Linked DNA regions of Arabidopsis thaliana. The protein of the gene in region 1 interacts with the protein of each later gene in a biochemical or structural test. Each region holds a gene or a part of one and is shown in the gene's direction. Other genes may lie near its edges. The genes, in order: AT4G39680 and BIN2.

What was found.
Region 2: of the proteins of AT4G39680 (region 1) and BIN2, one has a biochemical effect on the other in vitro, tested with the Arabidopsis thaliana proteins (one study listed by BioGRID).

What each region holds. Positions count from the first base shown.
Region 1 is NC_003075.7:18,413,504-18,419,155, reverse strand, and holds AT4G39680 (SAP domain-containing protein), read left to right. Parts: upstream 1-1,547; 5' UTR 1,548-1,809; intron 1,810-1,971; 5' UTR 1,972-2,030; intron 2,031-2,194; 5' UTR 2,195-2,217; coding exon 2,218-3,370; intron 3,371-3,582; coding exon 3,583-3,771; intron 3,772-3,865; coding exon 3,866-4,017; intron 4,018-4,144; coding exon 4,145-4,552; 3' UTR 4,553-4,850; downstream 4,851-5,652. Other genes in the region: AT4G39690 (MICOS complex subunit), read right to left, coding at 336-1,052, 1,135-1,198, 1,391-1,401; AT4G39675 (uncharacterized protein), read right to left, coding at 5,103-5,315.
Region 2 is NC_003075.7:10,294,235-10,300,069, forward strand, and holds BIN2 (Protein kinase superfamily protein), read left to right. Parts: upstream 1-1,903; 5' UTR 1,904-2,239; coding exon 2,240-2,254; intron 2,255-2,291; exon of another isoform or gene 2,292-2,843; coding exon 2,844-2,936; intron 2,937-3,027; coding exon 3,028-3,360; intron 3,361-3,452; coding exon 3,453-3,527; intron 3,528-3,620; coding exon 3,621-3,677; intron 3,678-3,771; coding exon 3,772-3,912; intron 3,913-4,002; coding exon 4,003-4,053; intron 4,054-4,133; coding exon 4,134-4,229; intron 4,230-4,315; coding exon 4,316-4,399; intron 4,400-4,481; coding exon 4,482-4,679; 3' UTR 4,680-5,155; downstream 5,156-5,835. Other genes in the region: AT4G18720 (Transcription factor IIS protein), read left to right, coding at 5,711-5,835. UniProt on the Arabidopsis thaliana protein: Negative regulator in brassinosteroid signal transduction pathway important for plant growth. May be also involved in auxin signaling pathway. Phosphorylates and increases the degradation of BZR1 and BZR2/BES1 by the proteasome.

The sequences.
Region 1 (5,652 bases):
TACATTCCTTCTTAAAAAATCAGTTTCTATCAGAATTTGATTCAGGACAGTTAACATAATGTCCATATGAATATCCCATTTCAACCAATATAATAAGAATTTGCACAAAACAAAGGAGTGCTTTTAACTCCAACAATGTAGCAGAATCCCTTTACATAGGTGTATCCCCTTTCAAAATACAAGCATTCTGGTCCAATGCAGGAAAAGGACGAGACAAGAAAAATTTCATGAAACAAGGAATACTGAGACATTCATCTTCTGATTTTTAAATCTGTAAGCTATTCATTTCATTACTTGTAGTTCTTTTTCAAGTTCAGCAAAGGAAATTTTAGTACCTCAGGTGTCTTTAGAGCGGCAGGATCCTTTGGTGAAGCAGATTCCGTTTCGCTTTCTCTATGAACCGAACTAGACTGGGCATTAACAATAATAGGACTATCCCCAGGTTTGGGTACAGCTTCCAACTTCACACTTTCTGCCTCAGAAATAATTTCTGATGGCATGTCCGGCTTAGCTCCTGAATCTTCAGATGCAGAAATAGGCAAGTTTATCTCTGCTCTATCAATGACAGTTTCTTGAGGTGTCTCCTCTTGGTTAGAAGAAATATATGTAAAACGGTCAGATGATAGATCAGACTCGGGTTGCAGTTCTATGTCACTCTGCACTCCCTCGGAAGCTTCAGAATGAGTAACTTGAGGTTGCGTTTCAACTTTTCCATCTTTTTCAGTAGAATCTTCAACACCGGAAGGTACATTCAAATGATGAGCCTCCTCCAGCTTTTCAGTTAGAGCATCAGAATGAATTCGCTCACTTAATTTCTGCTGTTCTTTCCCCAGATATTGATCCAAATAGCCAGTCTGATACGCTACCAGAAAAGCCCCAGCGATTGCAACACCTCCTATAACCACTTTTGAAGAATTTCCTTTAGTAGGAGGAGGAGGAGTCACTTTTGGAGGATCAACTTTTGAGGCATCTGGTTTCCCAACGGGTTTAGCTCCAGGGAGACCATTTTTACCAGATGTAGATGCATTTCTCGAAGAGCTCAAATGAAACCTCTGATGCATAACATAACACAATCAATCCAAGAGAGTACTCACAAGACGCTAACTAAGAATCACAACTAAATTCATAACTCACCTGAGCTCCCAAATTCCTCGGGAATCTCTTTATTGACAAACGAGAAGACAGCTCGAGAACCGACCTAAGCAAAAGAGCAACAACATAAACCACATTCGGTATGATTCACAAGAGAATCAAAGTCACAAATAGCTCTCAATTTAGAGGAATCAATAAAATCAGACCCGAAAGCTACGCAACGAGATTGATGGAACAAGAGAAGCCAAAATTCAACAAGATGGATTGAGATAATAAACTTAGGGTTCAGGAAACATACTTCCGAAGCATTATCGCGTCGCGTCTCTGGTGATACAAACGCCGAACGAGAGAGCGAAGATGTTACGACGGACGGAGAAGACTCGGAGCCTCCGGTGAGTAAAATAATAGTATTCTCTGAAAACCCCAAAAGCATTGAAACGACGCCGTACAAAATTACTTGAGAAAAAGGGTAATTTAGACATTTCACAATACAATGCGACCCATTATCACTTCAGGTCCTCGAGTTTTTCCCCAATATCAAAACCACTCGACGAACAAGAACCCTAGAATTCGCCTCCTCTTTCCAAAATTCCCAATTTTTGTAATGACGGGATAGAAAAATTCCCAATGTCCGCTTTATCTTTCATTCTCGATTAGAATTCTTCAACCAAAGGTCACTCTCTCTCCGTTCCATTGCTTCTGGATTTCGTTTTTAAGGTTTGCGTTCTTCTTTTTCTTCTTCGTCTTAAGAGAGTAAAATCTGGTGTTGAAGAATCTATTTTGAGTCGGAAATTTGATAAATTTGTAATCTTCCGTACTGGGTTTTGATTGTTGTCTTGTCTCTCTAATTGTTTCATTCTTCTTATGCTACGAATTTAGGGTTTTACATTTTTCCTGCCTTCTTTTACCCATCAGAGGAAGTTTCAAGCCATTTTGTTGTAAGTCATCTTTAAACTTCTAGCTCTTTTGGATTGGGTTTGTTAAAGATTTAAGCTTTGGTTTTAAATTATATAGATTTGCTGCGTTGCTTTGCTAATTTGTCTGATTTAGGTTTTGTCCTCTGCGATGGGTTTCTCTAATTTTATATTCAATATTTTTTCAGAATCAGCTCTCTCATAAGCTAAGATGTCGTCATCGCCTTTTCCAGTCTTGGACAACCGACCAATTGATAAGTGGAAGGTTACGGAATTGAAAGAAGAGCTTAAAAGACGGAGACTAACAACAAGAGGCTTGAAGGAGGAATTGGTTAGGCGTCTTGATGAAGCACTTCGTGCTGAGCAAGAAGAGTCTGAAAGGATCAATAGTGCTACTGTTGCTGCTGCTGAAAAAGCCAATCAAGAGCCTCAGATGTTTCCTGTTACTGTAGGTGATCGTAATCAAACCACTCCTGTTACTCCTGTTGAAGCGGCATTTAGCACTGAGACAACTCCTGTTACAGCTGAGAAAACCCCAGAACCAACTCAGACCAAGATAACAACTGAAGCTTCAGCTGGTGTTGAGACTACACCAGCCCCGGTGTTTTCAGAACCAGAGGTTAACGCTGTGCCATTCGCTAGTGATGAAGATGAGAAAGAGAAAGTTGATGATGTTAGAGACATAGCTGGTCTTGATAGTTCAGTGGTTGCACGTGATGCAGCAGTTGTGCAAGTGGCGTCTAGTGAGCACAAATCTGAGAATAATGAACCATTTAGTGGGTTGGATGGTGGGGATTCTAAGGCTCAACCATCAGAGGCAGTGCTTGAAAAATCTGCTATGTACAACCAGGTATCTGAGGTCATCCCCGTTACAGGGTTTGAGGTAAAATCTGATTGTATTTCTACTGATTCTGTGTCAAATAATGAAAAAATAGAACTAAAGGATAACAAAATTGCTGATAATGTCAAATTAGAACAAAATGTTAATAAGTTCCAAGAGCCATCAACAGTCGTTGGCGAATCGCATCCAATGGATGTCGAGGAGCCACTTGAGCAGAAGACATCTGTTGGAGGTGGGGATGACAGCAATGCTGCAAACGCAGATATGATCAAAGAAAATAATATTATCGATGCAGGCGACTCAGAAAAGTTGAATTTAGATAGAAGTTCTGGTGATGAGTCTATGGAGGATGAGCCGGAGACAAAGCAATCCGAGTCAATTACATCTGATGATAAGAGTGCAAAAATTGAAATGCTTTCTAAGGAGGAAAGCCGTGCTGATATGGATGCGGGGAAAGGGAAATCCCCTGAAAATAAAAGTCACCCACTGGTGGCTTCTGACAAAAGAAAGCTTCCTGCTAATGGTAATTCCTCTCATATTCATTTGTTTTATTAATCAAATCTTTTACTGTGTTTAATCTGTAATGTTGGTGTTTGAGGCATATACTGGTAGTGTTTAATAGTTGTTTCATCTTTGTCGTTTATGGCTACTTCTTATATATATTGGCTTTTGAAGCATCTGTTTTGAAATTCTAGCTATGTATGCTGAAATGTCTTTCTTTGTAACTCAATGTAGATCAAGAAGCTGTTGGAAACAATGAACCTGCAAAGAGGCGCCGATGGAACTCTAATAGTATTAAAGTTCCTGAAGCACAGATCACTAATAGTGCTACACCCACTACAACACCAAGGTCGACTGGTCTGAAGCGCGACTTCTCAAGGTCTGACTCTTCGGTTAGTGAAGATGGACCCAAGGAACGTGTGGGTATGTAATACAGCACCCCCTCTATGTATGTTTCCATCTCTTATTCATTGTCTTAAAGCTTTGTTTGATAGATGTGTTCAATATTTATTGGCAGTTCCTCCATCTCCAAAGGAGCCTACAAATTCCCTCAGGATTGACCGTTTCCTTAGGCCGTTCACACTGAAAGCTGTTCAGGAGCTCCTGGGTAAAACCGGAAATGTCACTAGTTTCTGGATGGACCACATTAAGACCCACTGCTATGTATCGGTAAGACCGCTTCTTCAAATCCTTTTGATTTACAAAAATGTTGATTCTGTTTGTGTACTTTCGAATTCAATTATCTAAATATCCAAAGAATTTTGTGTAACATGAGTGAGTTGTGACGTGACTGCAGTATCCCTCGGTTGAAGAAGCAGCAGCAACAAGAGAAGCAGTGTATAACCTCCAGTGGCCACCTAATGGAGGCCGCCATCTGATAGCTGAATTTGTTAGAGCAGAAGAAGTAAAAGAAAAACTGGAAGCTCCTCTGCCTCCTCAGCCTCAGCATCAGCCACAAGCTCAGACTCTTTCGCGGCCACCTCCAACTGCTCTTCCACCACCACCACCTCTGGCCAAACCACCTCACGTTGTAGAACGTCTTCCTCTGCCTCCCCCTCCTCCTATAGCCCCTGAGGAACAAGAACCTCCCATTGTCACTCTTGATGATCTATTCAAGAAGACAAAAGCGATCCCCAGGATATATTACTTACCCTTGTCAGAGGAGCAAGTTGCAGCTAAACTTGCAGCGAATAATAACAAGTGATCTTGCTGGTTCTTGGGAATTTCAGGTCATTGTTTTCGTAGCAGGCTCTTAGGAATTTAGCTCAGTGCGGACAAAAGTTGAGTACTCTGTTGAGTTTGGTTTGTTATTTTTAATGTAGAACGGATGGGAAGACTCTTCTTATGTTTAGTAGACTTTGGTTTGAACCTGTGATGAACTAACAGAGTTGTTTGGCTCTCTGTGTGTTAGATCTTTTCCTCTCCATTTCTTCTTTTACCTTTTCATGGATCTATGAACAATTGTTGGGTCAAAAATAAAGTAATAGCAGCCCAATATTACCAAATTTCAAATCTTGCAACTTACTTTTAGATCATGTGTCAAACCTAGTAATGGGCGTGTGTCAATGGAATAACCTTTTAACACTTGATAACATAAACACACAAATTGTACACTTTCACAAAACTACAAAGACGACCAAGATACGTTTTAGACACATCACACATACATACATAATTACATGCAAACACAAAGGACAAATACTTGGGAGAGAAGGCTCTGAAGATCCTTTTCAAGAATTTCATTACTTTGAACTTCACTTTTGTGATTTGAACTCTACTTGTTCATAAGACAAACGAGAAGGATAGATTTTATTAGAAATCCTTCCGGACGCAAAAGATGTTTCGACAGGGAGTCTATGAGCTTCATCGTGGTCGAAGTTTCTCTCCTTTTCTAGCTTTTTCATCTTCTCCTTCTGCTTCTTCTGCATGACTTGTAGGTGTGCGTAACTTGCTCCAATGGACGACATTACTTTTTAGTGTTGGTTAACAAAATAAATGTGTTAAGAATAAGATGTGGTTAAGATTTTCGAAGTGAAGGTTGAGTTTGTAGAAGAGTGCCTATTTATAGAGGTTTCTACGATTTCATTGCCGCTCTTAATTAATATATTTCTCTCTTTGATAGCCTTGATGTCTTAGGTGATTAAACTATGGGGAGTCGGTTGTTCCACAAATTTACACATATTATTAATAATGATTCATTTAGAAATTACTTATAGGGGGAGGTTTTATCTAGTTTGTGGCTTTCGCTTTAAGGGCGGCTCTTATACCAGCGGCACAAACTATGGTCCAATACATTCACATCTC
Region 2 (5,835 bases), 8.1 Mb from region 1:
AACATTTGAAACTCGGTTATACAATGAGGTTATCGTTCAGGCCTCTGGAAAGAAAATCAATTCTATAATACTTCAATAACTTTTTAGTAAAACTAACTGGATCAACTGATGAATCATATATCAAAAAAACAAAAAAAAAAACTAACGGAGGTAGACAATAGTTTAGCTGGAATGCTTGAAGAAATGGCAAGAATATGCTTCGAGAAGTTATGATTTATGAAGAGGTTACCTGCAAATTTTTTCATTTCTTTTTGCCGACGGTTGGCTGTTAGTTAGGAAAAAGAATTTTTGTTATAGGATTTTCTCTTCCGTTTCGTACAAACCCAATCATTATTCTCGTCTTTATACTTAACTTTGCCTCTCATTTTCATGTTATCAATCTTTTAAATTAAATATATCGTCAATGACTGTTATGAATAATTAGTTCTTCATTCTCTGCCTTGGTTCGAACCTCAGTCACATGGTGCACGTTATTGTGATTTCCCATACCTCAAGAGTTATTCAAGATCCCTTACAGAAATATATTTATATAATCTTTTATCTAATGTAGTTATTTACAAACATGTATTATCTACCAAAATAAAAAGGGCTAAAAGCTTCTTGAGTGAGACCGCTTTTGGTTCGATTCATTTTCCTACACTCCAATAGTATTACACTATTGTATATAACAAGAATCGTGGGATTTGTTTAATCCGTACAATGAAACAAGAAAGATATACAATAACTTAATATCATTTTTTTTTGGGGACAATCTTAATATCATTTCTAATTTCTATAGAACCAAAAACACTCATAACAACTTAAACTTTGTTTTTTGTGAGAAAAATAACAACTTAATTACTAGTTACTACATTGACAATTTAACATCTTCAGCTAAAACCGAATGTATATGAACATTTATAATCTAGTTGCTATTGTATATACGATTGGATAATACGCATATCGACATTTAAATAATTGAGCCTGAAGATAATTCACAAATATGCAATGTAAATCCGTCCATACAGCCAAAAGTATGTATGTCCCATGCATAATTGAACAAAAAGAAATTATATTAATATTATTTTTGTTGTCTTCTGCAAATGCTAGGACTGCTATCATTATCATCATTGATTTTAATATTGATGTTTCCAGAAAAATAAATAAACAAATATAAAGAAAAAAACAAACACAATAAGTAAAGCTACACTATTAGGTAATAATTAAAGCTCATTTTTAAGTCTAAAATTTTAATTATAAAATAAAAACATTAAAAAGTTAAGACCCAAAGAAACATAAATGCTTTTTTCTTTCATCAATGTCAAAAAAGAAGTTTTCCCACCAAATGGTCAAACTTGGATCTTTGACAATATTGTTCCAATTTCATCATGCCCTATCTTTTCTATTTATACACATACCTTAGATATAATTATTAAACCCAAAATTTGTGTTAAGAAAAAAAATAGACCCAAAATTTGTGTTAAGAAAAAAAATAGACCCAAAATTTGGAATATATATATAAGTCACCGCTGGAAAAAAAATTATTGCAAGTAATTTCTTATATGAAATTGGAATGATAATATTTTGATCAAGTATCCATTACTAAAATTTTACAACGCTAGATAACGAGATTGCTTGAAGTCGAACTTGTGAACAAATTATAATAATGTAAAACTAACTTGTATTGACTAATCTTTGATTTTTTTTACAATAATGAGTGATATTACATTCATTTTATTAACTAAATACAACGAATATGATAAATATTCAGTCCTCTTATAAACTTTATGATAGTGAAAATTTGAGACATTGACAATTCTAGCATTCTAACATTTTATGAGATTACATGAAATGTCAATTTAGACCTTAAACCAAACGAATACATGATTCAAATTTGACCGACAAGTACATGATGCCTTCCCTTTGATCACGAAATTTCCACAAAGAGTCCGTGTCTGCGTAATTAACCAGCAATTTCAAGGGTGTTTACGTAATTGTAGCTTAACAAATAAAAAACACGAAAGAAGATGGCGAAGAAAACGGAAAGTAGTAGATAGATAAAGAAAGAGAAAGAGAAGAGCTGGATTCACATGGTCTTGTTCTTTCTCTCTCCTTCTTTTCTCATCTTGCGGCTTCCCTTTCTCTCTCTATCGCCACAATGATCATTACCAACCAAACTGATTGAAACTCATTTGTTCTCTCTCTCTCAAATCCACTCTCTCTCTTTCTTTTCTCTTCTCCTCTCTGTGTCTCTATCGCCATGGCTGATGATAAGGTAAAGCTGCTTGTGTTCCTTTTGCTGTCTTTTGAAGAAGAAGATCCTGTTTTTTGGTTTTTCCACATTTGACCCTTCAATTAGTTGTCTTGAGATTCCTGTTCTTACAGATGTTTTGTGATAATAAATCTAGTTTAGTTAGTACTCTTGAAGTTGAACGGTTTTGAGTTCTGGGTTTGTCCAAAGTTTTGAGCTTTCGTTAACTTTTTGACTTACCCTGAGATCTCTGAGGGTTTTGAGTTCTGAGCTTAGAATTTTCTAAGTTAGCTCTGTTGGGATGATCCATGTCTATATATCTCGATCTGTGATTAATCCAGAGTTTATACAAGCTGCTAGATCCATAATTGAACATAGATTAGTCCTTGTTTGGTTTGTTATATGTATTTGTTTTGTTTACCATTCTTTTGGCGTGACAAAAGTATATATTTTTAGTTTTAACTAAATCAGATTCACTCTGCGTAACGGTTATTTTGTAACCACTCTTTTAGGATAAAAGTTTCCTTCTTTAGACTTTTGATTCTCAGACAAGCATTATTCTTTTAGCTTTTGATAATGGTTTTGTGCTGATATTAAAGCTTTTCTCTTTCAGGAGATGCCTGCTGCTGTAGTTGATGGACATGATCAAGTCACTGGTCATATTATTTCCACCACAATCGGTGGCAAAAATGGTGAACCAAAACAGGTATTTTTAAGGCTTTTAACCAAATAGACTCACTTTTATGTATATGCAAGATTTTGATGGTTACCAATACATTTTTCTATGTTGTTGTTAGACAATTAGTTACATGGCGGAGCGAGTTGTTGGTACAGGCTCGTTCGGGATCGTTTTCCAAGCAAAATGTTTGGAGACTGGAGAAACCGTGGCGATAAAGAAGGTTTTGCAAGATAGAAGATACAAGAACCGAGAACTTCAGTTGATGCGTGTGATGGATCATCCGAATGTGGTTTGTTTGAAGCATTGCTTCTTTTCGACTACAAGTAAAGACGAGCTTTTCTTGAACTTGGTTATGGAGTATGTCCCTGAGAGCTTGTATCGAGTTCTGAAACATTATAGTAGTGCAAACCAAAGAATGCCTCTTGTCTATGTTAAACTTTACATGTATCAGGTAATAACAACACACATTCATATCTTCCATTTCCAAAGTTGATGTACATAAGATTGTTCTTAGGCTGATATTACTTCCTTTTGTTATGTTAGATCTTCCGGGGACTTGCTTACATTCACAATGTTGCTGGAGTTTGTCACAGAGATCTAAAGCCTCAAAATCTTCTGGTATGTGTAACATTTTAAGATTGAACTCTTTGTTTTTTTTCTTGCCTTTGTTTCTTTCGTTCTTAATGTATCTCTTCTGGTCTCTTTCTATAGGTTGATCCTCTTACTCATCAAGTCAAAATCTGTGACTTTGGCAGTGCGAAACAGCTCGTAAGACTTTGTGACATATAAACTCATTCGACTTGTAGCGGTTGTTGTTTTCTGTGATCTTGTCATTTACTGTTGAAATTTACTTTTGCTTCAGGTTAAAGGTGAAGCCAACATTTCTTACATCTGCTCACGATTCTACCGTGCACCCGAGCTCATATTTGGTGCCACTGAGTACACAACTTCTATTGATATCTGGTCTGCTGGTTGTGTTCTTGCTGAGCTTCTTCTTGGTCAGGTAAACAATTCTTTCAGTAACCAGCTTATTCAATCTCCATGTGTATATTTGCATTAGGACTCATTGTGACTATATCATGTTCTTATGCAGCCATTATTTCCCGGAGAAAATGCTGTGGATCAGCTCGTTGAAATTATAAAAGTAAGAATCTTTAAACGATGATTCCTTGCAAATTACATTCTTTGGCTACAAAATCCTCACTGTATAGTTGTTGTACACAGGTTCTTGGTACACCAACTCGAGAAGAAATCCGTTGTATGAATCCACATTACACAGATTTCAGGTTTCCACAGATAAAGGCACATCCCTGGCACAAGGTTAGTGTCTTTTCTCTTTTTGCATGTGTTCTTGTTTCAGTTTCTTTCTTCACACATCAACTGATCATAATTACGTTTTGGTTTAGATCTTCCACAAAAGGATGCCCCCAGAAGCGATTGATTTTGCATCAAGGCTGCTTCAATACTCTCCAAGTCTAAGATGCACAGCGGTAAGCATTGGTCTTGAGGTTTCTTCAGTCTCTAAGAATCCAACTGAATCCTTACTATATATTTTGTTTCCTCGTATTTCAGCTCGAAGCTTGTGCACATCCGTTCTTTGATGAACTCAGAGAACCAAACGCTCGTTTACCAAATGGACGGCCTTTCCCGCCTCTCTTCAACTTCAAACAAGAAGTAGCTGGATCATCACCTGAACTGGTCAACAAGTTGATTCCAGACCATATCAAGAGACAATTGGGTCTAAGCTTCTTGAATCAATCTGGAACTTAAAAGGGATCCTGCAAAAGACAACTACTTTTTTATATATAATGTACCATTACACGAGCCACAAGGTCGTAGTTGAAGGCAAACGTGGAGGACACAATTCAAAGTTTTTCCTCCTCAAACTCGTTCAGACAAAGCCAGCTGCTAGCAAAACCAACTCCCCCAAATCTGCGAAAACAAAAACTCTCCAGTGTTGTATCTGCTTATTTCTCTTCTCTTTTCAAGTTTGGTGAAAAACACAGTCTCCTCTTTGCTTCATTTCTTCTTTCTTTCCCCCTTATGTAAATGAGTTTAGTCAGAAGTTTTTTTATATAGTAAAGTTTGGGCAGAAGGTGAAGAATGTAATCAAAGTGATACTCTTTCAACGAGGAGCTTCTTTCAAACACTTTTTTTTTTTTTCAAACACTTCATGAATGGATACATGGTTTTGCTTTAAGCATAAGTATATTTGTATTAAATTTTCACTCAATTTAATTGCACGAATCATTACAAAAATAATATCTCGCTACTCATATAAATACCCTATAAATAAATAAGTGAATTTTTTTTATCTCTCATGGAAATTTGATTTATGTATTTATATGTTTTAAGATTCGAAGAAATTTTTAAATAATGAAAATTTACAAATATATAATTCTTAATTCAGAATTTCAGATATTGAATTACTTATTGGATTTTTAAAACAAAAAGAAAATTACATGACTTTTTTTTTCTTTTTTTTTTTTAAATATCTGTTAGTTCAAGTTAAAAGACCATACATTTTCTAAAGGCGGGACCTATATCAGGTTAAATTCATCTCCTTTTAGAAAAAAAATATATTTGGGAAAGGCTTTGATAGCAAGCAATTAAAGTATCCGAAACTAACAAAACCTATCTGGTCTTGGACTCTTAGTCTTTATATAAACAACATCAGATAGATCGAGAGACCATACGCAACAATTTACTAATTTCTCTTCTCCTTCGTTGCTTTTGAAACCCTAGTTATTATCGAGAGATCAAACACGTACGTACACAAAAGACCGATCAAACAGAGAAGGATGCAGAAGCGTGAGTTCATGGAGTTGTTCGAGGCAGCACTTAGAGCGGCTAAGTCTGTGAAAGGTGATGAGAATTCTCCAGAGGTATCGAGGTTTGTCGATGCCATGAATCGTTTGAAGGAAGC